Callithrix jacchus: one gene and its partner. The protein of the gene in region 2 purifies or fractionates together with the protein of the main gene of each other region. This does not show direct contact. Links are inferred from orthologs where the notes say so. Each region holds a gene or a part of one and is shown on either strand. Other genes may lie near its edges. The genes, in order: FAM174A and SLC39A7.

Region 1 (12,407 bases), on a different chromosome or scaffold from region 2:
TCGATTTTATGGCAGAAGTTATGTGCTGTGGCTACTGTGGTGAATAAGAATAGATATAGCTCCTGCTCTCACAAAACCAAATGTCTAGTAGGGATGACACATAGTTACTTAAATAAGTATACAGATGATCTTTTCATAAGCACTTTAAAGGACATGTACGTAGGTTCAGTGGAAGCCAATAGTAGAAGTCTGTGACCTAGCTAGATAGAACAGAAAAGGGTTTGCGAGGAAGTGTATTTAAGCTGACAACTGAAAGATGAACAGGCATTCACATAGCAGTATTGTGGTAGCTGGGAGAAGAGTGTGAGGCCAATGGCAGAGAAAGCATGGACATCATGAGGGACTGAGAGAAGGCTGTGTGGCTGAAGTAGAGAACCTGGAGTGGAATGTGGAGTGAAGAACAAGGTGAGGCTAAAGATGAAAATATGAACCATCCTGTGATCATCTTTGTAGGCCATATATTACAGACTCATTACTTGATGCTGAATAATAGGAAACCACTGAAGGTTTTAGAGTATGAAGGGAATGTTAGTGAGTGACCAGAGTAGGTAGAGATAGTGAATTAGGAAACTATTTTAGTCAACAGAGGAAGACATGATAGGATAGCAGTGGTATGGTGAAGCAATATAAATGAATTTAAATGTTTCTTAGGAAGTACAATCAATAGTTCCTTGTGATTATGGCAGCCATGGAGATACACGGATCAGACCTTTTTTCAAGAGAACATGCTACAGGAAGTAAAGTTGGTTGACATCCTCTGCTGTCACAGATTTGGGTCTATCACAGCATTCGTGCCAGGGTGGTAACTCCTAAGCTTGACCCTAGCCAATGACTGAGTAGAGCAGAGCCTGGCCATCCTCACTAACAGGGAACTCCTCTAATGGGCAACCTTTGCTTACAGGCATGCCACTGGCCTGGTCAAGATTCTTTCAAAAGTGCATTGCAAGCTACAGCTCGTTCTAGCTGGTCATCCTTCCTTTCCACTCTTTCATAGGTGTCAGACCTATATCACCCTTTGTGGGATCTCCTCACCTTCCCTTTTGTCTCTTTATCCTCCACAGGCCCTTCTCTAATACATCTCTTGTATTCTGTATTAATTTGTTAGAACCATTGCAAGAAAGTACCACAAGTGAGGTGGCTTAAACAACAGAAATTTATTGTCTCACAGTTTTGGAGGCAAGAAATTCAAAATCAAAGTACTGCCAGGGCTGGTTCCTTCTGAGGTCTACAAAGGAAGGATCTCCTCTGGGCCTCTCTTGATCTTTTCGATGACATCTTCATGTTCACATGGCATTCTGCCTGTGTGCATGTCTATCTCCAAAATTTTCCTTTTTATAAGGATATCTTGGATGAGGGCCTGCCTTCATGATCTCACTTTAACTCGATTACCTCTATAAAGTCTATTGCCTCAAAGTACATCCTATTTCTAAATAAGGTCAGGACTTCAACATATGAATTTTTGGAGGACATAATTCAAGCTGTAACACGCAAACACATTCCTTATTAGTGTCTGATTCTTGAAGAAGTCGGACTGACAACTGATGGATTGGGTGGTGGAAATGGGGAATAAAGATGAGAATGATGTCAATTTCATCAAAAGAATTTTTACTATGTGTCATATATTCAATTGGGTTGAATTTCCTGATGAATAGTATAGACAACTACAATTGTGATTCACTAATATTTATTCATTTATATTTCAATGGTTAAAAAAAGAAATTTCACATTTATTTTTGGTCACTAGTTCACTTTTTTCTAAAACTAGTTAAAACAAAAATTTTGTTTTAGTTATAGATTGTTATTTACTCTGTTTCATTGTTATGTCTAACCACACAGGGTAGTGTATGTGTCTGTATAGTAAATAATATATTCCTCAGTCTAGTTTTAAATGTGCTAAAAAAGAAATTAAGAATTATATTACCCTACAGATGCTCAGTTAAAAAAAAACAGAAGGGAAAAAATAAAATTAAGTAGATATAGCAAGTTACAACAAATTTAAATCAAACTAGATAGATATATCAAGTTACAGCAACTTATATTGATTGGTGTTCTCCCTTTCATAGAGCAGTGAAATGAAATGGAATTTTATTCTGTTTTGTTTATATGTCATCACGTATTTTTACATAAAATTTTATCAAGCTTACTTTTGTGGTTTGGCTTTATTTTGATACTCTAACTTATATATATGTTATTAGAAGGGAAGTCATTTTTACCAACCTGAATATATTGGAATATTAAGGAATCTGCATCTATATGAAGGCAGCTATTTGAATATTAACTTGAATACCTAGAAAGTGTCTGACCGGGATAATTTGTCTGAGCATACCATGTGATGAGTGAATGTAATTTTATATGAGTAATCATATAGATATTTTCTTTTGCCTGCTCAGGCTTTTGTACTTTCCTCTGTAAACACTTGTAGATAAAGTCCCTATTTTTATTTTCATTAGAAGCTGGCATAATTTGTTTTTGTATTTCCAAATGCATTTACTATGTCTAGTAGAAAAGTGTGCATATCTATGTCTGTATCTACATGTGTGTGTATATATTTGTAATTGTCAGCACGCATATAGACAAGTTTGGGTATCACAAGCTTAATGAAGACATTCATTTGTAGGAAAAGAACTGTGGCTATTAAAATTGCATAGATATTAAAGCTCTTTTTCTTTTGTTAAAAAATAATGTACAATGCATATTAAAAGACAAAGTCCCCTTTTTTATTGCATTTTAGGTTTTGGGGTACATGTGCAGAACATGCAAGATAGTTGCATAGGTACACACATGGCAGTGTGATTTGCTGCCTTCCTCCCCTTCACCCACATCTGGCATTTTTCCCCATGCTATCCCTCCCAACAAAGTCGCCTTTTTACTTAAAATGTTGGCGTATTTTAATGTATGTTTTATTTTACATTTAGTGTTTGTTAGTATTTTCAGTACTGTTTGTTGAATCACCCAAATTATTTTAAAGATTTATAATTGTTTTTTCCTACCTTGAGATAAATCACACCATATAATAATGTGGTGTGTGTGTTATATTATATTTAATATTTTTATATGGCCATGTAGCTATATGACCACATAGTTATGACTGCATATATCTTTGGACTGAGGAAAGACATTTTAAGAGAAATTACATTTCAAGTTTAAATTTTATTTAATAATATGCAGTATTCTTGACTCATTTTTAGATGAGTCAGTACATATAATAAAACAGTAAATTCGTTTAAATTTGAACTGCATCACCCATTGACTTGATGCCTAACAATATTCTATTTTTATATATGGAATAGATTCTAAACAACAATCCAAACTTGTTTCTAAATAGTTTGGATTCATTTTTAGAAGATAGTATTTACATATACAATTAAATTAAAGAACAGTATAAGCTAGAATAAAATAAAAGGTCCAAACCACTACAGTCAAATGTTTAGGCTGTACATGGATAGGGAAAATAGTATTATTAGGCAAACTAGTTTGACCACTCATTGAAAGATTGGAAATCATTGAAGGTATGGTAAAAACTTTGGATGTAGAGAAGAACATCAGATGAGCTAAATGTTGAAGTCTTTAAACTCTATGTTCATCATTTTTTTTTAAGACTTGCCAACATGTCCTGTGACTAACAATGACAGGTTAACATATTGACTGTTTGATATGTATGACCTGGAAGAATCGAGTTTATTTCCAAAAACAATTTCACATGGCATTAACTTCTTTTTTATTGACTAAAATTGTCAGAATGTTTGGAACCCATATGGCTTTGAAGACTGAGCAAAAGGCTGACAAAAGGAAAGAGAAATTATAATTCTCAATATCCTTAACTTATGTTGCCAACTAGTTTCACTCTTATGTAATCATTTTTAAAATCAAATGATTGCATGCAGGTATCATTAAATCATATGGTTCAAAAGCACAATAGTGAACTTACTTCCCTATATTTTTCTATTTTTTTTTTTTTTTTTTTTGAGGCAGAGTCTTCACTCTGTCTTCCAGGCTGGAGTGCAATGGCCCCATCTCAACTTACTGCAGCCTGTGCCTCCCGAGGTCAAGCGATTCTCTTACATCAGCCTCCCAAGTAGCTGGGATTGCAGGCACATACCACCACACCTGGCTAATTTTTGTATTTTTGCCAGACACAGGTTTTCACCATGTTGGCCAGGCTGGTCACGAACTCTTGACCTCAGGTGGTCTGCCCACCTCAGCCTTCCAAAGTACTGGGATTACAGGCATGAGCCACCATACCCAGCCTATTTTTCTAGTTCTACTTTCCATAGACAATAATTTTATTTTTTTTTCTTTGTTTGTTTGCTAATTATTTTTATGAGTCTAAATCAGAGGCTGTCAAAGTATAGCCCACAGGCCAAATTCCTTCTGCTGATGTTTTTGTAAGGCCTAAGAACTAAGAATGTCTAGCTATCTATCTAGCTATCTGTCAATCTATCTATCTATCATCTATCTATAGATTTTTAAGGGTGGGAAACAAAATGAAAATTTAAATGAATACATAGCAGAATGTGTCCTACAGATCGTCAAATACTATCTAATTTTTTTACAGAGGAAGTTTAGACCTCTGGTCTACATGGTGTGTGTGTGTGCACACATACACACACATATACTTAATGTAACAACCTAAACATTAATTTCTCACCATGAAAGAACAAGTTCTTTTTACTTCATACTGCTTCATTTTTGCTAGTACTAATATTTATTGACTCTTTTATTGGGTACATTTGTAACTTTAAATACTATGCTTAACTTTGTTTCCTGTTCCATCACTTTGTATGTGTATATATATATATAGCTCTATAGGTAATGATTGATAGAAATTTTCTTGGTTTCTGTTCGTTCACACTTTAGTAACATTTTATAAATTTTAACACTGAGACCAGGCAGTTTATATCCAGAAGCTACTACCATACCTGATGCTTAGGAAGACTCAAGTATTTGTTCAAGGTCTTTTTCCCCCCAGGGGCTTCACTGTCATGTTTGAACAGGCTCACGTTGCTCTTTACAGTTGATATTATAGCTTAAGTATTTCTTATTCCACTTACTATGTTATGCAGATCAAATCAGGATTTATGCAAACTAATTTTATTTGTGATAACTTGCTGAAATATTTTCTATTTTATTTTTAAATTCCAATGGACACTCTTGTGAAACACATTTTCCTATGTGTGGAGTTGAAGTTATTGCGTTGGAGATGATTTAGGCATTCCTTTCAGGGTCATGGTTTTGGATTGCCATGGTAGAAGTCACTCAGACCTTCAATAATTAATTGAGGAATATCTTAATTGATATATCACTGTACTAGAAAGTGGTTATACAGTGGTGAATAAAGCAGTTTTCGTTGCTGCTCATATAGCACTTAGTGGGAGACACAGGTGAATAAACACCACATAGATATATACATCGGCACATAGGAATGAAAATTAAGGAAAAGAATAAGTTATTTGAGACACCAACTGGAAGTAGGGCTCTAAATCATGAGATTTCATAAACACAGCTAATAATAATGAATGTTAAGCACCCTTGAATCTTTTCAGTTTCTCTAAGGCAGTGGTTCTCAAACTTGAGTATGCATCAAAAGCATAAGAAATGTTTGTTAAAACACAGGTTTCTGGGCCACATCTTCAAAGTTTGTTGTTAACTAAGTCTGGGCTAGCCATGAAGATTTGCATTTCTTATAAGTTCCTAGGTGACTGTTATTCTGCTGATCCAGAGAAACACACTGCAAGGACCACTGATCTCAGATAGTGGTTTTATATCACATTGGAATCACATTTAGAATCTCAACAAAATATTGATATGTAATTCTTTTTGCTGTGCTTTTTGATTCAGTTATAGCCTAAACATGGGGCTCCAAAAAATACCCCCAGGTAATTCTGGTGTATGGCTAGAGTTGTGAGCTATCAGTCTAGTCTGTGAACATGGATATGCATACAGTTTCTTAGAGGGGCATCTTCACAGGGGTAGGAAAGCATGGAGGACATGGGGAAAAGGCTGGAACAGGATGTTTCAATAAAGGAGTACCTGACCTAAGCCTTTAAAAATTGAGGCTTCAAGTATGGTACTTGAACTAAGGCTTAAAAGTTATTTGTCAACACCATTGGTTGACACAGGGAGAAGAGAGTATGTCAAACAGAAGAAACAGGTGATGGCACATAAACATGTAGGAGTAGGTTTTGTTTCATGAAATTTAATCCCAGATGGTAAATTTGTTGCATATATGAAATGTAACCATTCTGATATTGAGTGCTTTCTATGTCAGAAACAGAATGAAAATTTATTTTAATTTACAAATAAATATAAACTAAGGATCCTCTACACCATATTAAATAATTTTTATTAATTTGTTACATTTAATAGGATGAGAAGAAGAAACCGAAAGACTAGGAGATACGGAGTTTTGGACACTAACATAGAAAACATGGAATTGACTCCTTTAGAACAAGATGATGAGGATGATGATAACACATTGTTTGATGCCAATCATCCTCGAAGGTAAGTATTCCAGTAGTTTAATTCCATGAATCTGGAAGCAAGACTTGTGAAGTAAACTGAAGAAGTAAAGCAGACTTTCATTTAACAGTTTATATTCCAACACAGATTTTCTTCAGTTCTGTTTAATGAAGTTATCTTTCCTGTCTACCCCATAGCTCACATTCACATTGTTTTGCTGAAATAGATACCATCTCAAAATAATTCTTAAAAGTTTATTTTCCTTTTTTTTAACTTTTAAGTTCAGGGGTACAAGTGCAGGGTTGTTACATAGGTAAAGTTCTGTCATGGGGTTTTGTCATACAGATTATTTCACCACCCAGGTATTAACCCTAGGACCCATTAACTTCGTCATTCTTGCATTTTGTATTAATTTGTGTGTGTGTGTCTGTGTGTGTGTGTGTCTGTGTGTGTGATACTTAGTAAATTTAGTTTCCTTTTTGTATTCTGAAGATACTTTGTTTTTAGTTTGGGTTCCAGTGTTGTGTAAATAGTGCTGCCTTGCAGAATTGGGGGGGCTAAATGTTTATGGTCTGATCATATAGCTATAATATCTATACTGAGATCTATTCTCGCTAGATGTTAAGAACTTTCCTAAGAGGTTTGGATAAATAAAATGACATGAATATAAAATAAATCCCAATGCAAATAGAATGGGGAAAAAAGGGCAACAAAGATTCAGCCTAATAAGGAAAGACATATTGGAATACAGAGGGATTACTTGGGTGAAGGAGAATTAGAGTCCAGAGTCAGGTACAAATGCAGAGAAAACAGAAATCTTGGGAATACAGAAAGGATGATGACTCAACAAAAATTGGACTCTTAAATCCTGTATATCTATATCTACATCTGTCTATCTATATAGCTAAGCTGTTTATACACACACACACACACACACACACACACACACAAAGGAACTTTTAGTAATGCTGGTCATTTATTCATTTAATAAAAATATGTTCATCAGTTATACATTTTAATAGTATTACTGTCTGGATAGGCAAACATGAATAAAACAATTGTATCTGTTCATTAAGAACTCATTTTCAATTTAAAGACACATGTAAGATGAAAGAAAAAGGACAGAAAAGGATATTCCATGCAAATGGTAACCAAAGCAAAGCAGAGGTTGCTAAATTTATATCAAACAAAATAGATTTTAAGTCAAAAACTATCTCTTGAGACAAAAAAAGATCATTACATAATAAAAGAGTCAATTCAACAGGATACGACAATTAGTATGACTATATCAGAGCACCTAAATTATAAAGCAGATATTGACAGATCTGAAGCAAGAAATTGACAGCCATAAAATAATTTAGGGGACTTTCATATTCCACTTACAATAATGAATAGAATATCTAGACAGAAAATCAATAAAGAAACCACTGACTTAAACAACACTATAGACTAAATTGACCTGACAGACACGTTTACAACTTTGCACCCAACAGTGGAAGAATTCACATTCTTCTCAAATGCTCATGGCATGCACTCTAGGATAAATCATGCTGGGTCACAAAAAAGTCTTAGCAACTTTAAGATGATTGAAATTATTCCAGGTATCTTTTTCAACCTCCATAGAATAGAAATAGAAATCAATAACATCAGGAAAACAGGAAAATGTATAAATATGTAGAAACTAAAAAATATAGTTTGAATATAACTCCAGGCCAAATCTCACGTCACTTGTAACCCTCCATGCTGGAAGTGAAGCCTGGTGAGATGCTTGGGTCATGGAGACTGATCACTCATGGCTTGGTGCTGTCCTCATGATAGTGAGTTCTCATGAAATCTGGTTATTTTAAGTGTGTAGTAACTGCTCCTCCTTGCTCCTGTTTTTGCCCTTTGAAGTACCTGATACCATTTCATCTTGTACCATGAGTAAAAGCTCCATGGTACCTCCTCAGAAGCCAAACAGATGTCAGCGCCATGCTTTTACAGTCTGCAGAACCATGAGCCGATTAAACCTCTTTTTGTTATAAATTGCCCAGTCTCAGCTATGTCTTTACAGCAATGAAAGAATGGACTAATACACTGAACAACACACTCTTGAGCAATCATTCGGTCAAATAGGAAATCAAAGGGAATTTTAAAAGCTATTTGGAAACCAGAAATATGTGGCATAACAAAACTTACAGGATGCAGCAAATGCAGTGCTAGGAAAGAAGTTTATAGCAGTAAATGCCTTTGTTATGAAAGAAGAAAGACTTCAGATAAATGTTTGCCCTTTAAGAACGTGGCAAAAGAAAAATTACCCTAAAACAAGGAAAACAATTAAGATTATAGTAGAAATACATTAAATGGAGTTGAGAAAACCAATGAGAAAAATAAGTGAAATTAAGATTTTGTTTTTAGAAAAGATAAATAAAATCAATAAACCTTTAGCTAGAACTAAGAAAAAAAGAAAAGGCTCAAATAAATAAAATCAGAAATAAAAGAGAAGAAATTACAATGGATTTCTCAGAAATTAAAAAAAAAATGGCATGAGACTATTATGAACAATTATATGCCAACAAATTTGAGAACCTAGAAAAATGGATAAATTCCTAGAAACGTACAATCTATGAAACCTGAGTCAAGAAGAAATTCAAAGTTCAAACACACCAGTAACAAATAAGGACATTGAGTCATTAGTCAAAAACATTCCAACAAAGAAATTTTCAGGACCATATGACTTCATGGGTAAATTATACCAAACATTTATAGAAGAATTAATACCAGTCCTTCTCAAATTATTCTGAAAAATAGAAGAAGAAACACTTTAAAAGTCATTTTATGAGGCTAGTATTTCCCTAAGCCAGACAAAGATGCCATAAGGCAAGCAAACTGCAGGCCAATATTTCTGATGAGCAGAGATACAAAAATCCTCAGTAAATGCTAGTTACCTAACTTCAGCAGTATATTAAAATTATGATACACCATGACTAAGTGGGATTTGTCCCTGGAATGCAAAGATCTTTCAACACATGCAAATAAATGAGATAGAACACAGTAATAGGTTGAAAGAAAAAACTACAAGATCTTATCAGTAGACACAGAAAAAGCATTTGACAGTGCTACCCACAGAGACAAATGGGGTTACATCAAACTAAAAAGCTTTGGCACAGCCAAGGAGATGATCATCAGAGTGAAAAGAAACTTAAAAAGTGGGACAAAATATTTATATTATTATAAATATATATGTGTATATATGCATTTGTTAATATCTAACATTTATAAGGGATTGCATGTATATGTGTGTGTGTGTGTGTGTGTGTGTGTGTGTGTATGAGTTAACATCTAAAATTTATAAGAAATGCATTTAACTTAGTAGCCAAAAATCTCAAATAATCTGATTTTAAAATGGGCACATGACCTCTTTTTGGGAATGTAAGTTGGCACAGCTATTAGGGAAAACAGTATAGAAATTCCTCAATAAATTATTATTTAGCAGTTTTACTGCTAGATATCTATCCAAAGGAAATCAGTATTGCATAGAGAGATCTGCACACCCATGTTCACTGCAGCATTATTCACATTAACCAAGTTGTGGAAATAACCTAAATGTGCATTGACAGATGTATTTGTCCATTTTCATACTGCTTTGAAGAAATATTCAAGAATGAAGAATTTATAAAGAAAAAGAGGTTTAATGGACTCACAGTTCTGCATGGCTGGGGAGGCCTCACAATCATGGCGGAGGCAAAGAAGGAGCAAAGGCATGTCTTACATGACAGCAGACAAGACAGCATGTGCAGGGGAACTGCCCTTTATGAAACAGATCTCATGAGACTTATTCAACATTGTAAGAACAGCATGGGAAAAACTCGCCCCCATGTTTTAGTTACCTCCCACCAGGTTCTTCCCATGATACTTGAGGATTATGGGAGCTACAATTCAAGATGAGATTTAGAGGGGGACACAGCCAAACCATATCACAAATAAATAAATTTGAAAAGTATGAGATGTATATGTATGTATAATATATATAATTATATGTATAATACACTATTGAATATTATTCAGCAAAAAAAAAAAGAAAAGAAAATCTGGACATTTGCAACAACATGGATGAACCTGGAGGAATTAATGCTTTGTGAAACAATCCATACATAGAAAGACAGATATTGCATTATCTCATTTATATGTGGTATCTAAATAGTCAAGCTTATAGTAATGAATAGAAATAGGGGTTGCTAGGGGCTACAGAGAAGGGAAAATATGAAGATGGTAAGTCAGGGGGGTCCAAAGTTTTAGTCATGCAAAATGAGTAAATTCATTTATGTGAGATGAGTAAGTTATGCAAGATGAATAACTTCTTAATGGACAACAATGTGAATATATATAGTTTACAATACATTACGCTATTGTATATTTTTAAGTTTTCTAGGAAAGTAGGTGTTAAGTGTTCTTGCTACACACAAAAATATGGTAATCACATGAGGTAATGGATATATTGATTAGTGTGATTGCAGTAATTCTTTCATACAGTATATGTATATCATAAAATCAAGGTAAACACTTTAAGCATACCCAATTTTTATTTGACAATTGTACCTCAGTAAAGACGGAAAAATAAAAAGCTCATGAAACAGTTGTAATCTACGCTAATCACCAATTCTATAGATTACAAAAAGTCATTTTGAAAATTGTAACACAAGGGAAACTTTGATTACAAAGTTGTGTTTTGAAGATTACTCTGACTTGCATGGGTTGAAGGAGACCAAGATAAAGAGTAAGGTGACAAGGAATAAAAGTAGTTAGATGGTACGGATGCATAAGATGACTTGCATTACAGTAACAGCAGGAAAGGCAGAGCGGAATCAATTATTTAAGCGGTTTTGGAAGGTATTAAATTACCTTCCTTAATTACCATCTTAACCAAGATATAGGTGTCCTGTTTGAGAGTGAAAGAATGAGAATTGGTTATAATAATCGTAAAGCATGTTTCAGGGATAAGAATAAAATCATCTTGAGTTTTTTAATAATCTGACCCAATTTACTTAATAAGAAAAAACTTTAATATATATCTAAATAAACTGACAGGAACAGTGTATTTCTATTTACCTTTTCATTCATTTATCCAACAAATGAATGATGTAGCAGTTATTTATTTGCCAAGCACTGGTCTAGGTATTTGAGATACATTCGAGAGCAGAACAAAACCAAACAAAAAAAAATTCTCACTTTGTGAAGTTTGTTTGTGAAAAGATGAGTTAGAGAGGTTAACAATTCATTTTTCATCTTTAGTTTTTCTTCTATACCTATCTGATGTTTTTTTTCAAAGAACATATATTTATGCATTACTTTTAAAAAAAAATCTTTTGTCTAGAAATAATTTTAAACTTACAGAAAGTTTACAAGAATAAAAACAGTACAAAATATTATATGCTTGTTTTTCAGATTTATTAGTTCTTAGCATTTTATCCTATTCTCTTAAGTGGTCTTTCTTCTGTCATAATATATATACAGAAGAATTCATACCTCTCCTTTTGTGTTTATCTGATGTTCTGATGTTTCCTCATAATTAGATTCAGGTTCCTCATTCTTAGTTGAAATACTTCTTAGTTCATGCTGTCTCTTAAAGGTATCATATCTGGAAACACGGATGTCCATTTCTACTTCATCTGTTTAAGCTTTGTCCAATTTCTCCACTCTGTTGATGATTTTTCCCCTCCATATCTAATAAGGAAACATTTTACAATCATGGAAATATCCTATTTCTCATCTAAATTTCTCCCTATGTTTAACATCTATTCATCACAATTCTTGCCTAATCTAATCTTCATTATGAAACTTAGAACATAATTAATTCAAACTTAATTATTTCTTTTCTGTTTACCAATCAGCATTGACATTCTCCTATAAGCAAAAACCTTCCCTTCTTCCTTGTTTGTCATCAAAATGTAATGATGATTTTCTCTCTG
Region 2 (12,933 bases):
GGGATCATTCCAGTAATCTGTAAGGAAATATTCATACGCAGGTGAAAGCCGCTTTTATAGATTTTTTTGAAGACTAAGTTTGTGACCCTTTTTTGTCTTCATTCCTTATATATTTATTGAATACTTAATGTTTGCCAGGAACTGTGCCCAGTATTCTCTTTCTCTCTGTGAAGCCCAGATTGAGTCTCTGAATGATTCTGCCCTCCAGCCACAGCCTCCTACCTTATTCATCACTTTCTGTGGCACTTTCTGTGTCATGGGTGTTGCAATGAACCCTGGGAGGACAGAGTTACAGCGGATCCCATGTCTGTGAGAAGGAGAGTGGCTGCTGATTCTGGAGAGGACTGGAATGCTGGTCCCTCCCTCAGACCCCCCAGGTGCTCTCCAGGACCCTCAACCATCTGACCAACCGTCCAAGCTCTCGGGCTGCAGTCTGGGTTAGCCCAATCACTCCGGCCTTGGATGCTGCATAGTTTGTCTGTCCCATGTTCCCCACCTATAGATGAGTCAGAGATGTGGAATGAGTCAGCAGTCTCAAGGAGGGGTTCTCCTTTCTATGCCACTTGGCTGGCTGACCTCGTCCAACTCAACCTGACCTTTCCTACGATGCTACTGATGTTGATGATGGAACCACTGCAACCACTGGACACCAGGGCTTGGCCTGCAGCCTGAGTGACTAGGAAGGTGCCCTGGCGGGAAAGGGTAACAAGGGAGAAAAGATCAGCTGGGATGACAGCCCTCCTCCGACTCACCCCCCAGACTAAGGTGGCCAAAAGTCGCAGGTTCAGAGATCACCACCTTGAGATTGACAGCTATGACTTTGTCCCAGTCATCCTCAGACATGTGCAGCAGAAGCTCATCCCGGGTGATGCCCGCACAGGACACAACGACAGATGGTGGGCGAGAAAAGCAGGCCTATGGGAGGGGGAGGTTATGCATCAAAAAAAACCCACAAAGAGCCGGGGCAGTGGCGGCAATATTAGAGCTTTAAAGAGAGAACGTGGCCTGGCGTTCACCTGCACTTGTTCCAGCAGGCGTCTGGCGGCACTGCCCTCAGACACGTCAGCCTGGAAGGCAGCGTGGTTCCCTCGGGGCGGCCCCTGCTTGCTCCCTGGCCCGCCCAGCAGCCGCACTGTCTCCTGTGCCGCTGCCCCGTCCAGGTCGCAGGCGGCTACGGTGGCCCCCTCTCCGGCCAGGCGCACACTGACCGCCCGGCCGATGCCGCTCCCCGCACCTGAGGTAGGACAGAACACGCAGGGACCGGGCAGGGGGAGGAGAGGGCAGGGATCAGAGGTCACAGGGCAAAAAGTTAGTAAAATGTGGATAAGGGGCCAGAGGTTACAGGGGCCGTGGACTCCAAGGGCATGCCCCTGACATCACTCCAACACCCCAAACCTTCCCGGGAGAGCACCCCCTCAACCTGTGACCAAGGCCAGCGCAGAGCGGAGCCGGTGCTGGAGCTGAGACGCCATGGCGGACTGTGGGTGGGTGGGAACCCCAGCACTAAGCCAATCCTAGTGCAGAGGGGGCGTGGCGAACGCAAATCCGGGGCCAATCGAAGCCCCGACAGCCTTAGGCCATCTGCGGCCGCCAGCGCTGGCCGACCTCCCACCGCGGGGGCGTGGCCAGACACTGCTGTTTGGGGGCCGACAGTGTGGGGAAGACAAGGGGCCCCATTCCCCCCAAAAAGACAAAGACTCCATGTGGGGTGAAGATCTGAGGACTTTATTTCTGGTCTCCACCCCTCCTCCCCCTCTATTCAAACACAGTGATATAAAAAGAATACTAACAAAAAAAATCAGGCCGTGATATTACCAACCCTCCCCCCCGCCCCCCGCCCGTCCCCCAAATCACTCCCAAATCAGGACACACGATTGATGTTTATGTTTATCCCCGACTACTCCTGTTACCCTCTCTGTCCAGGACTCTGGTCTTTCCTGAAGCCTCTACCAAGTGGTGGGAGAAAGGGAAGTGGACTTTGCAGAACTTTCTGTGTAGCAACTTGGTTTTCTAACAGGTGGGGTAGGGGACACCAAGTAGGCTGCCATCATCCCCTCTCCCAGCCTTCTTCATGGCCCCATTTAGACCTCCAAATGCAACAACATGGTCAGGTGGTGCTCAACACTATGTTCCCTCTGGCCTCTCATTCTCACCTCTACCGCCTCTGTAAGACTGCCAGCCCTTGAAGGCCCTAATGACAAAGTAACCATTTTCTCAGGCTACGGTTCCTTCCTTTGGTAGATGTCCCTGGCCAGGGCCCCCAGCCTCCACACACCCCTGACCTAGAGTGAGGGGTAGAGGTTTGGGGCAAGGTAGTTTATCCCACCCCTCACTCGAGGTGGGCAATCAGCACCATCATGACAACTCCCCCCAGCAGCCCCAGCACCTCCAGAAATGACTGCAATGGTGATGCCTCCCTCAGCAGCTCTGGCAACACAGACACTGTTGCCACGTAGATAAAGCCACCCGCAGTAAATGGCAGGACCCAGCCAGGACCTGCACCACCTGCAACTTCACTGCCCACTGTTCCTCCTTCAGCGAGAAGGGCACAGGCAGTGCCTGCCAGTGCCCCTACTGCTGTCAGTAGTTGCAGACGCATTGCCTGATGGGCAGAAAAGAGAAAGAGACACTCACCAACAGCTAAAGATTATCAGTGGGTTTAGAAGTAGCTGGTGGGATATAGGTGTAAGGGACATGGATTTGGAAACTAAACATCAAAGTAAAAAGGGGGAGGGTCTAGAATAGACAATTTCTGAAAAAAATCTTAGAGATCAGAGATCCTTTCCACAGACTTTCTGATTGAGTAGGTGTGTGTGTGTAAGACTCCACTAAACCATTCAGATTGTTTATAGACCATAGTTTAAGAAATACTGAGCTAAAGAAAAGAAACCAGAACTTCTTCCCACTCATTTCTAGGGGACTTGTCAATGATAGCATGAATTGTTTGGAACTAATAAGAGGCTGTTTTGGGTTTAAGGTGAGTGAGCAGAAACAAAGGGTTTGAGGCAGCAGTGTTCGGCAGACATCACCAACCTGCTTTTTGCTGCAGCCAGACTGGACCAAGATGGCAAAGTCTCCAACCTCATGGGGCACTTCATGTAGCAGGACAGTCATTGTGGTCAGGATCCCTAGTCCCCGACCCCCTCGAAAGGAAGCCCCAATGGCCAGACCATCAGTGAAGTTGTGTGCCAAGTCAGCAGCCAGATTCAGGTATCCTGACACACGCAGGTCTTGTACAGGAAAAGAAGAGAAAATGATCAGAGGCCTCCATCACCAGTTGTTCCAGTCTTGGTCAGCTATCCTCACATCTCCCCTCAGAGACCACTTCACACCCAGTCCCTTAGTGTTTCCCAGACACCTTCCATTACCCATAGCACATATTCCATGTGATTCGTGAGGATGTCCCTTGCCCAAATTTATCACCAACTCTGGCCCTTACCTAAGCCTCTTTTTTCTTCTTCAGGCTTCTGAGGTCTCACTGGCCCATCTTTGGGTACTGTGCTTCCTCCTCGCCTCTTCTGGACACCCCCCGTTTCCTTTTCTTCTTCCTCTGAGCTCTGCTTCTCCTTGGTAGAACGCTCTGAGGGAAGAAAGGAGTTGGTCAGAGTGGAGAACAGATCTTCCAATATGTCCTCTCCCTCCTGAGGGCCATAAGATGAGGCGATTCTGAGGCAGGCAAGTCAGCTTTTGGAAAGTTGTTCCTGGGCTCACCCTGTCTTCCATGTCCATGACTTCCACGTGTGTGACTATGAGCATGTCCATGTCCATGACTGTGTCCATGTCCTCCTTTCACATGTCTCACGAATTTCTCCACGACCAGAAAGGCAACAATTCCACTGAGAACCCACAGTCCCACAGATAGAATGGGGCCCTGGCCTGGGAATAGAGGCATTGAGACATTAAGGGAGATGTGCATTCCAGACTTCTCCTCCTTAAGTGCAGGAGGTGAGGAATAGGGAGAGACGGACCTTCCCCAGCACCCCAACTCCTGTCCCCATCTGTCTCTTCCTCACCACTGTGGGAGTGTCCATGTCCAGGTTGCTCCAGAGTGTGGTGAGAATGAGGTTCTGGAAGAAGGGGGGGAAGCCAAATGAGGGAATATCTAACCCAAAGGGTGTGTATTTGGGGGAATATCGGAAGATCAGGAATCAGAAAGGAGAAAGAACCCTTAAAAGAACAAAATACGTTAGATTTGAGGTAGAAGTCAGAGGTTACTTACCAAGAGCATGAGGAATGAGGTGCAGGAAGGCGTCTCCCAGGAGCCCACCAGAAGCAAAACTGAGCAAGATCTGAAGTAGAGAGCGATGCCGGGGAGAGTTTGACTCCACAGGGATAAGGAAGAGGACAAAAAATGGAGCTGCTGAGATCAGCACTGTGGCCCCCAGTGCCTGGTGAGGGAGAATCAGGGTCAAGTACTGTGGAGTTTCCCGACAATCCAGAACCAGCCCCTCTCTCTCCCATCCCCTGGAAACTCACATAAGCCCAGAGAGTGACAGCATCCAGGTCCTGCTTGATGCCCAGAGCCCCAGACTCCCCATAGCCTCCATGGCTATGGTCATGGTCATGTCCATGTCCTCTGTGGTAGAGGTTCTCATGGGAGTGGCCATGGCTATGGCCATGGTGTAAATCCTCATGTGAATGTCCATGGTCGTGACCGTGGGTATGTCCATGCCAGATGCTCTCGTGAGTGTGGCCATGGCCGTGGGCATGGTTGTGTCCATGGTGGAAATCTTCATGTGAGTGCCTGTGGCTGTGGCCATGGAAGTCTTCTTGCAGATCGTCGTGCAGGTCGTCATAACCCCCGTGTCCAGCCACCAGAAGCCCCAAGGCTGCCCAGGTCAGCAGTCCCACGGCCACCCAGCGGGGGGCCCCCAGACCTTTGGCCATCACGCTGACCAGAGGGACAGAGACAGTGACTCCACTTGACTCTCAACTAACTCTATACCTACACAGGGTCCTCTTTACTCCAGTCGCGCTCTCCGTCCACCTCTATGGGCCGCTCTCCCATTCCCTTAAGTTTCCACCTACATAGTTCCCAAGACTAGTTCTCTTTATGCCGAACCCCCTCGCGGATGCAGGGCTCTGGGACACTAGTCTTTGACCAGCCACTTTACGGACTCTCTGGGCCCTCGTCTCTATGGCTCATTAGGTGAGGGAATGGCCTGGAAGGGATAGAATGGAAAAACAGAATTCTCACCGGCTCCGGGATCCTCTCCTTTCCCCGTTTGCTTGGACGTGGCAGTCCCGCCTTTAGCTCCCGCGAGAACAGGAAGTTCCGTTCCACCTTCGCCCTAATGCCTTTACCAATATGGCGGCACTCCGGTAGCGACGAAGCCACCCTGAGCTGACGCGCATGCGCGAGCCTGGAGGTTATTTGAGGGGAAGGTGGGCAAGGCGGGCTAACAGGCTGGAGGAGACCGCCTCCTCGGTTTCCAACTAGACGAGGGGGCGGGAACTTGCGCCGACACTTCCCGTCTGTACAAAGATGGCTGCCACATTGGCGCTGTCATTTTGGTACAGAGCAGAACGACAAGCTTAATTCCACCCAATCCAGGCCAGAGTCGTTTTCTCAGGTGCTTCCTCGTGCTCAGCTAATCTTCCGATCAACTCTTGGGAATCTCTGGCACCTCTTCGATATCCCTACTCTCAGCCAGGGATCATGTCTTGGGCCGCTCGCCCGCCCTTCCTCCCTCAGCGGCATGCCGCAGGGCAGTGTGGGCCGGTGGGGGTGCGAAAAGAAATGCATTGTGGGGTCGCGTCCCGGTGGCGGCGGCGACGGCCCTGGCTGGATCCCGCAGCGGCGGCGGCGGCGGCGGCAGGCGGAGAACAACAAACCCCGGAACCGGAGCCGGGGGAGGCCGGACGGGACGGGATGGGCGACAGCGGGCGGGGTGAGTGTCCCTGCGGAAGGGCAGGCAAGCCAGTGACCGCGTTATCTGCAACCCCCTCCCCCACACCCTCCCCAGTGCTCTTTTCCTGGCGCTCCCGCCCCCTTGTTTGTAAACACGCGTCCCTTCCCTCCCGAGGGCCTTAGCGCCCTCCTCCCCCCAGGGCGGGGCGGGGAAGGGGAGCTTCAGATCTCCTAGCCTTGACCGCTTGAGGCCTGGGGCACTGGAGGTCGCGGGCGTGGGAAGGGCACGATTCCTCTTAAGCTTCAGGACTTTGGACGTTTGAAGGCAGATTCTGCGTTATAGGAGGGGTCTCTCCCACCTCTTTCCCCTGTACGCCCCGGCTACCCAGCTTTACGCTGGGAATAGAGGGGCTGGATGGGTACCCCACGTGCTGCCCCACCCACGAGACAGGTGTGGCTTGGGGATGACCTGGTATTCATTCAAATGGATTGCTTGGAAGATGTTTCTCAACTGAGCTATCCTCCTCTCCTTGTCAACTCCCTCCTCTCACCACAATGAGGAGTACCTTGTTTTTTTGTTTTTTCAGCCAGTCAAATATAGCAGTGGGAGGTTGTATACCAATTTTAGTGACGCTAATGTTAGTTCTGATAACGCACTCATCGGACCAGCTGGAGTTATACTGTTTTTTGACAGCAGGATGTCTCTGGACTTAGGGATGGATGGAGTGGGCTGGGTCCAGGCACGGTGGGGTACTAGAGAATTAAAGTCTCTACTTGGATGTTTGAAGACTCATTTTCTTTTTTTGTCTCTCCTGTCTCTGTGTGTCTGTGTGCCTGTACATACCCCTCTCTCAGACTCCCGAAGCCCAGACAGCTCCTCCCCAAATCCCCTTCCCCAGGGAGTCCCTCCCCCTTCTCCTCCTGGGCCACCCCTACCCCCTTCAACAGCTCCATCCCTTGGAGGCTCTGGGGCCCCACCCCCACCCCCGATGCCACCACCCCCACTGGGCTCTCCCTTTCCAGTTATCAGTTCTTCCATGGGGTCCCCTGGTCTGCCCCCTCCAGCTCCCCCAGGATTCTCCGGGCCTGTCAGCAGCCCCCAGGTGAGAGGTTGTGACCGACTTACTGCCTGGCCACTTTCATTTCCTTGTTTTCCTTGTAACCCCAAATCCTTGCGTGAACTTCCCCATGGCTCATTGACCTTCTAATCCTCTAATCTTGGCAGGCCTGTGGTCTTTGTTGAGACCCCTTGCCTTTCCTGAGGTGACTGAACTTTCAATGCATGCTTCCTCCACTAAAAGAAATCTTAATATTCCTTGGTTTTTGTGTGTGGTTTTTTTTTTTTTTTTGAGATGGAGTCTTGCTCTGTTGCCCAGGCTGGGGTGCAGTGGCTCAGTCTCGGCTCACTGCAACCTCTGCTTCCTGGGTTCAAGTGATTCTCCTGCCTCAGCCTCCTGAGTAGCTGGGATTCCAGGTGTCTACCACCATGCCCAGCTAATTCTGATATTCTTCATGTCCTTTTCATCTATCAGTGATTTTCTGCCCGTTTGGTCCCATCTGCTTTCCCAAGACACCTGCCCTTCAGGGTCACTGTGGAACAGCACAATTTCAGGGGGGTTCTGTTTATTCTCTTTGGGATTGTGCTCCAGGGATGGCCCCTCATGTAGACTACAGTGTAAATGATGCCCTCTGGAATGTGCATTGTGGGACTTTGCTTAGTAGTAGGGAATGATTTCCATCACTTCTATGAGATTCTCCTTCCCAATGAGTCTTCCTGTGACTTCCCTATTTCCCTCATCCCAGATTAACTCAACAGTGTCGCTCCCTGGGGGTGGGTCTGGCCCCCCTGAAGATGTGAAGCCACCAGTCTTAGGGGTCCGGGGCCTGCACTGTCCACCCCCTCCAGGTGGCCCGGGGGCTGGCAAACGGCTATGTGCAATCTGCGGGGACAGAAGCTCAGGTATGGGGCTCAGAGGATGAAGAGAGAGGGAGAGTCTGGGCCATGTATCACCACTTGTGGGATTCCCAGGGCTTATGGGGTTTGGTCAGAGCAAGTGACCTGGGGGAGGCCTGATAAGAGTAAAGAAGCTGAAGATGAGATGTGGGATGCGATTAGGGGGAAGGTCAGAGGGAAAAGGGAGTGCAAACGTAGGGATTCTGAACAGTGAGGGGACTGGGACTGGATCATCACTCACCTCCTGGTACCCTATCTCTGTATTTGGCAAATGTAGAGAGGACTTTAAGTTTTGCCAGGGGGAGATTAGGAAGAGACTAAATGGTGAAGGTGTCTCCACGCAATCTTATTGCTCTTCCCTTTTCCCTGTAGGCAAACACTACGGGGTTTACAGCTGTGAGGGTTGCAAGGGCTTCTTCAAACGCACCATCCGAAAGGACCTTACGTACTCTTGCCGGGACAACAAAGACTGCACAGTAGACAAGCGCCAGCGGAACCGCTGTCAGTACTGCCGCTACCAGAAGTGCCTGGCCACTGGCATGAAGAGGGAGGGTAAGGACCTGCCCTGCCCAGGCTTCTTAGACCACATGCCCCTTCTCCCCTACCCCGCTCAAGACTCTACCTCTCTGGAAGGCTAAAGGGTGATATTTGATTTCTCAAATCAAATATCCTCTAGAGGGCGATATTTGATTTCTTTCTCCCTTCGAAGCTTTTCTCCCTGTTACCCTGCTCTGGCCCTTGAGTTTCCTTCTTACTGGTTAGGCCTTTGTGGTCTACACCTATGACCCCTCCCTAGACTGGTCTTAGGATAACCTTTCCTTACCCGTGATGGGCTTTCTGTCTCCCCTTTTCTAACCTGAGTGGTTCCTCCTCTCTGATTCCATGGACCCTCTCTGGTCTCTGTCTCCTGTTATCTGTGATCTTTCCTCTAACTCCTGGGACTCGACACTCTTAAGCTCAGGGATTTCCTTCCTTATTCTGTGTCTCCATCTTATCTTCTTAAGTCCAATTCGTAGAAGTCTGAGACAGACACTTGAGAACGTATCTTGGTCAAAATCCCACTTTAGAGAAGATGAGCCTGAGGCCTGGCTTTTCCAAAGTCATGCAACAAAGGAGTGGCAGGCAGTTCTGGGATCAGAACTCACATCCGTGAAGACCTAGGCCAGTACTCCTTTCACTGCCTATTTGCAGAGTCAGGAGAGTACAGATTTGCATTCAGACACACTTAGATCCAATTGTATGACCTGCCATTACTATATGAATTTAAGTGAGCTGTTTAACCTTTTTGAATCCCAAGTTCCTCATCTTTAAAAATGAGAATAAATGCTTCCAGCATAATTATGATAATAGAGTGAATGTTAAAACGTGCTTAGCATGTTTCTTTCCATGTTTTTTTATTAAAAATTTTTTTTCAATCAGCTTTTTCAGGTTGAATCTTGGCATATTTTTTAACCATGTAGTAGGCTCTCCATTTAAATTCCTCCCTGATTCTTTTACCCTCCTCACCCTTCCTGACTGACTTATCTGCCCTTTTATAACCCTTGCTTCAGGGCTGCTCCCAGTCCACCCTTTCTAGTGACTTCTCCAATTTCCATAAATATTTCCCAAGGGCCATGAGATCCTGATGAGGCCCTAAGGATACTTGTGGAAACCCTTAATGGCTGGCTGCTGACTCTCTGTTTTTTTCTCTCCCTCTTTCCCCTGCAGCGGTACAGGAGGAGCGTCAGCGGGGAAAGGACAAGGATGGGGATGGGGAGGGGGCTGGGGGAGCCCCTGAGGAGATGCCTGTGGACAGGATCCTGGAGGCAGAGCTTGCTGTGGAGCAGAAGAGTGACCAGGGCGTTGAGGGTCCTGGGGGAACCGGTGGTAGCGGCAGCAGCGTGAGTGTTGGGGTCAATTCACTCTCCTTCATGATGGGGGTAGGGGGAGGTAGTCTAGGTCTGTTCTATATCCCTTCTCATCCTTTCCCCTCATAACCTTCCTAACACTGCTTGGGACCAGAAGTGCTGCCAAACAAGGTCTTTCAAATATCTGAGGTGGATATGATAGCTCCTTCTGTCTCTACTCCCCAAAACACCCACTGGCAGAACCACAGGCACTTCCCAAATAAATAATTGCTTAAACAAATACCAGAAGAGAAGCCTGACTTACAGGGATTGGTTTGGATGGGGCTCACAGGAAGACTGTATGTAAGGAGCCTCTTACTAGGGGGTTCCCAGCATATCTCAAAATCTTCCGTAACTCTTACCCCCGTCCCCTGCAGCCAAATGACCCCGTGACTAACATCTGTCAGGCAGCTGACAAACAGCTATTCACGCTTGTTGAGTGGGCGAAGAGGATCCCACACTTTTCCTCCTTGCCTCTGGATGATCAGGTCATATTGCTGCGGGCAGGTCAGTGACCTTGGATCCCTTTGACCTCTTGACATTTGACCCCTTTGACTTTCCAACCTTTAGTGACCCCAGTGGCCTTACCTTGTGTCCTAAGGGAGCCAAACTTGCTGACCTCGCCATATCTTTTCTCCTTCTCTTCTACTGATGTGCTTTGAATCTCTTGGCCTGATTTCTGGCTCCTGACCCTTGCTGCCCCACCCAGGCTGGAACGAACTCCTCATTGCTTCCTTCTCCCACCGATCCATTGATGTTCGAGATGGCATCCTCCTTGCCACAGGTCTTCATGTGCACCGAAACTCAGCCCATTCAGCAGGAGTAGGAGCCATCTTTGATCGGTCAGTGGCCCTCGGCTAGGCTGGCATGTAGATAAAGGGGGTGGGGCTATAGGCTGGTCCGTGTCCAAGGCTGGCTGAGCTGTGACCTTTGAGTGACCTGCAGGTCCCTCTCCAGGGTGCTGACAGAGCTAGTGTCCAAAATGCGTGACATGAGGATGGACAAGACAGAGCTTGGCTGCCTGAGGGCAATCATTCTGTTTAATCCAGGTAAGAGGAGGATTACCTTTGTTTCTCAAGGCCAAGGCACCCTTGGAGCCTCCTCTTCTCCGAGACTCCTAAGTTACCCAGCTATCCCCCTCAGTAAGACCCTCAACCTGGAAATCTCCCAACTGGCCAAGGAAAAACCCACATCCGTGGATGCGTCCCACAAACCCAGTAGGCCCTGCTTCCCTTGCCAGGCCTCTGGTAAAGGGCAAGCAAGTGCGGACCAAAAGGGACATCGTGTGGCTCACATCTACGCAGCTGTACTGATTTGATTTGTGTTCATTTCTCTTCCTCCTCTCTTCCGTGCCATCCTAGATGCCAAGGGCCTCTCCAACCCTAGTGAGGTGGAGGTCCTGCGGGAGAAAGTGTATGCATCACTGGAGACCTACTGCAAACAGAAGTACCCTGAGCAGCAGGGACGGTGAGATGGGGCTGGGGGGACTGAGGCTCCCTCACAGGTGGGGAGTGCCACGAGGATGTGTTCAGAGTCCGTGTGCTTCCAGCTCTCACTCCCCTTCTTCCACCTCCACCCCAGGTTTGCCAAGCTGCTGCTACGTCTTCCTGCCCTCCGGTCCATCGGCCTTAAGTGTCTAGAGCATCTGTTTTTCTTCAAGCTCATTGGTGACACCCCCATCGACACTTTTCTTATGGAGATGCTTGAGGCTCCCCATCAACTGGCCTGAGCTCAGACCCAGACATGGTGCTTCTCACATTGGAGGAGCACACATCCAAGAGGGACTCCAAGCTTGGGGCAGGGTGGGGGGGGGCCATGTTCCCAGAAGCTTGATGGGGTGAGAAGTACAGGGCAGAACCAAGAACATAAGCCCTCCAAGGGATCTGCTTGATATCCCAAGTTGGAAGGGACCCCAGATCCCTGTGAGGACTGGTTGTCTCCCTTCAGTGGCCTTGAGTCTCTGAATTTGTCGGGGTCTCCCATGATTTGGGGTAGTTTCTCACCCTCTGTCCTTCTCCCAGCACAAAGCACTGGCCCTGCCCCTGGGACCTTGCTTCCCTCTCATCTTGCCTCATTTTCCTTTCCATCTGAAGAATGGAAATGGGGAACTCCCCAAGAGATGGATATTGGTGGGCAGGCCCCCCAAACTGATGGACATAAGCGTAGGGCCCTGACAGGCCTTCCTTTTCTCCAGCCTGGCAGATGGGGGCCTCTCTGGGAGAGGGAGGGTCCCCTGTGACTGTCTCCTGTCCAGAGTCTCTTTTTACACTTCACCTCCTTCAGTCAGACTGAAATATAAAAAAGGTGGTGGTGGTGGTGAAGGGGCTGGTGGAGATGTAGGAACCGATCTGCTATTTTTAACTTCCTCTGAGGATAGAGACTTGCAGTTAGACTCAAAGAAGTACTGTACTTTCCCAGGTTGACTAAGAAATGCCAGTGGTGGAGGTGGGTGTTTGGGAAAGGCAGGGCCCTGAAATGGCCTGTCCCTAGGGCTCTCCAAGCACTAGCCTTCCCAGCTTCCCCCCCACCCCATCTCTTCCTGTCTGACTTGGGGAAGGGGCCTGGGCTGTGAAGACAGGGCCCCCACAGGGGACGATTTCGTGAGTATAGTCCCGGAGGCCTTCCCTTCACTGCTCTCCTCAAGCCATGGGCACATAGTGTAGGCTAGGGACATGGGATCCTGGCCTGAGAATTGAGTGGGGGGTGGCCAGCCCGCAGAGGTGGGGTGCTGGGGCTGCATGATTTTTGCCCTGCGTCTCTTCTCTTTGGGGTTCCTTCCCCCTCTCACTCATACATAAAATCGCTTTCAAATTAAAATCGCTGTTTTCTGGACCGAGGTGACTATATAAGGATGGGCAGCGCCGAGTCGGGCTTGGGGGGGTATCCGGTTGGGAGCTTCGGACGCGATCCCTGGACGCCGCCGCCGAGGTTCCCTGGGGCCTGAGAGGCGGGCGCAGGGTGGGGGACACAAGGCGAGCTTTGTCGGGGAGGGGGAAGAGGGTGTGCCAGGCTGGGGGCGGGGCCGGCCGGTGGAGGAAGGGGGGCGGCGGATTCTCAAAGGCGCCTTGTTCGCTCGTGCCCTCCCCGCGCCAGCGGGCGGCGCCTCGGCTCGCTCCGGCCTTCCCTCCGGCCGCGCCGCGGGCTCCGGGCAGACCCGGCGCCGTGCCCGCTCATGGGGTCGCACTGGGCACCGAGCGCCGTGGCTTCCTCAGGCGTTGCCTGCCCGAAGGCGGCCCACGTCC

What was found.
Region 1: the proteins of SLC39A7 (region 2) and FAM174A purify together in Homo sapiens (co-immunoprecipitation; 3 studies listed by BioGRID and IntAct, with this or other methods). This does not show direct contact. The link is inferred for Callithrix jacchus from reciprocal best matches to the Homo sapiens genes SLC39A7 and FAM174A.

The regions. Positions count from the first base shown.
Region 1 is NC_133503.1:109,909,594-109,922,000, reverse strand, and holds part of FAM174A (membrane protein FAM174A), read left to right. Parts: intron 1-6,366; coding exon 6,367-6,501; intron 6,502-10,090; coding exon of another isoform or gene 10,091-10,106; exon of another isoform or gene 10,107-12,407.
Region 2 is NC_133505.1:41,435,906-41,448,838, reverse strand, and holds SLC39A7 (zinc transporter SLC39A7), read right to left. Parts: upstream 5,253-12,933; 5' UTR 5,198-5,252; intron 4,892-5,197; 5' UTR 4,888-4,891; coding exon 4,477-4,887; intron 4,389-4,476; coding exon 4,220-4,388; intron 4,068-4,219; coding exon 4,014-4,067; intron 3,877-4,013; coding exon 3,712-3,876; intron 3,581-3,711; coding exon 3,440-3,580; intron 3,231-3,439; coding exon 3,034-3,230; intron 2,603-3,033; coding exon 2,330-2,602; 3' UTR 1,705-2,329; downstream 1-1,704. Other genes in the region: HSD17B8 (estradiol 17-beta-dehydrogenase 8), read right to left, coding at 1-17, 223-307, 411-496, 597-689, 799-915, 1,017-1,234, 1,421-1,472; RXRB (retinoic acid receptor RXR-beta), read left to right, coding at 5,660-5,891, 6,707-6,954, 7,655-7,811, 8,178-8,357, 9,513-9,685, 10,069-10,198, 10,401-10,533, 10,637-10,740 and 2 more. UniProt on the Homo sapiens protein: Transports Zn(2+) from the endoplasmic reticulum (ER)/Golgi apparatus to the cytosol, playing an essential role in the regulation of cytosolic zinc levels.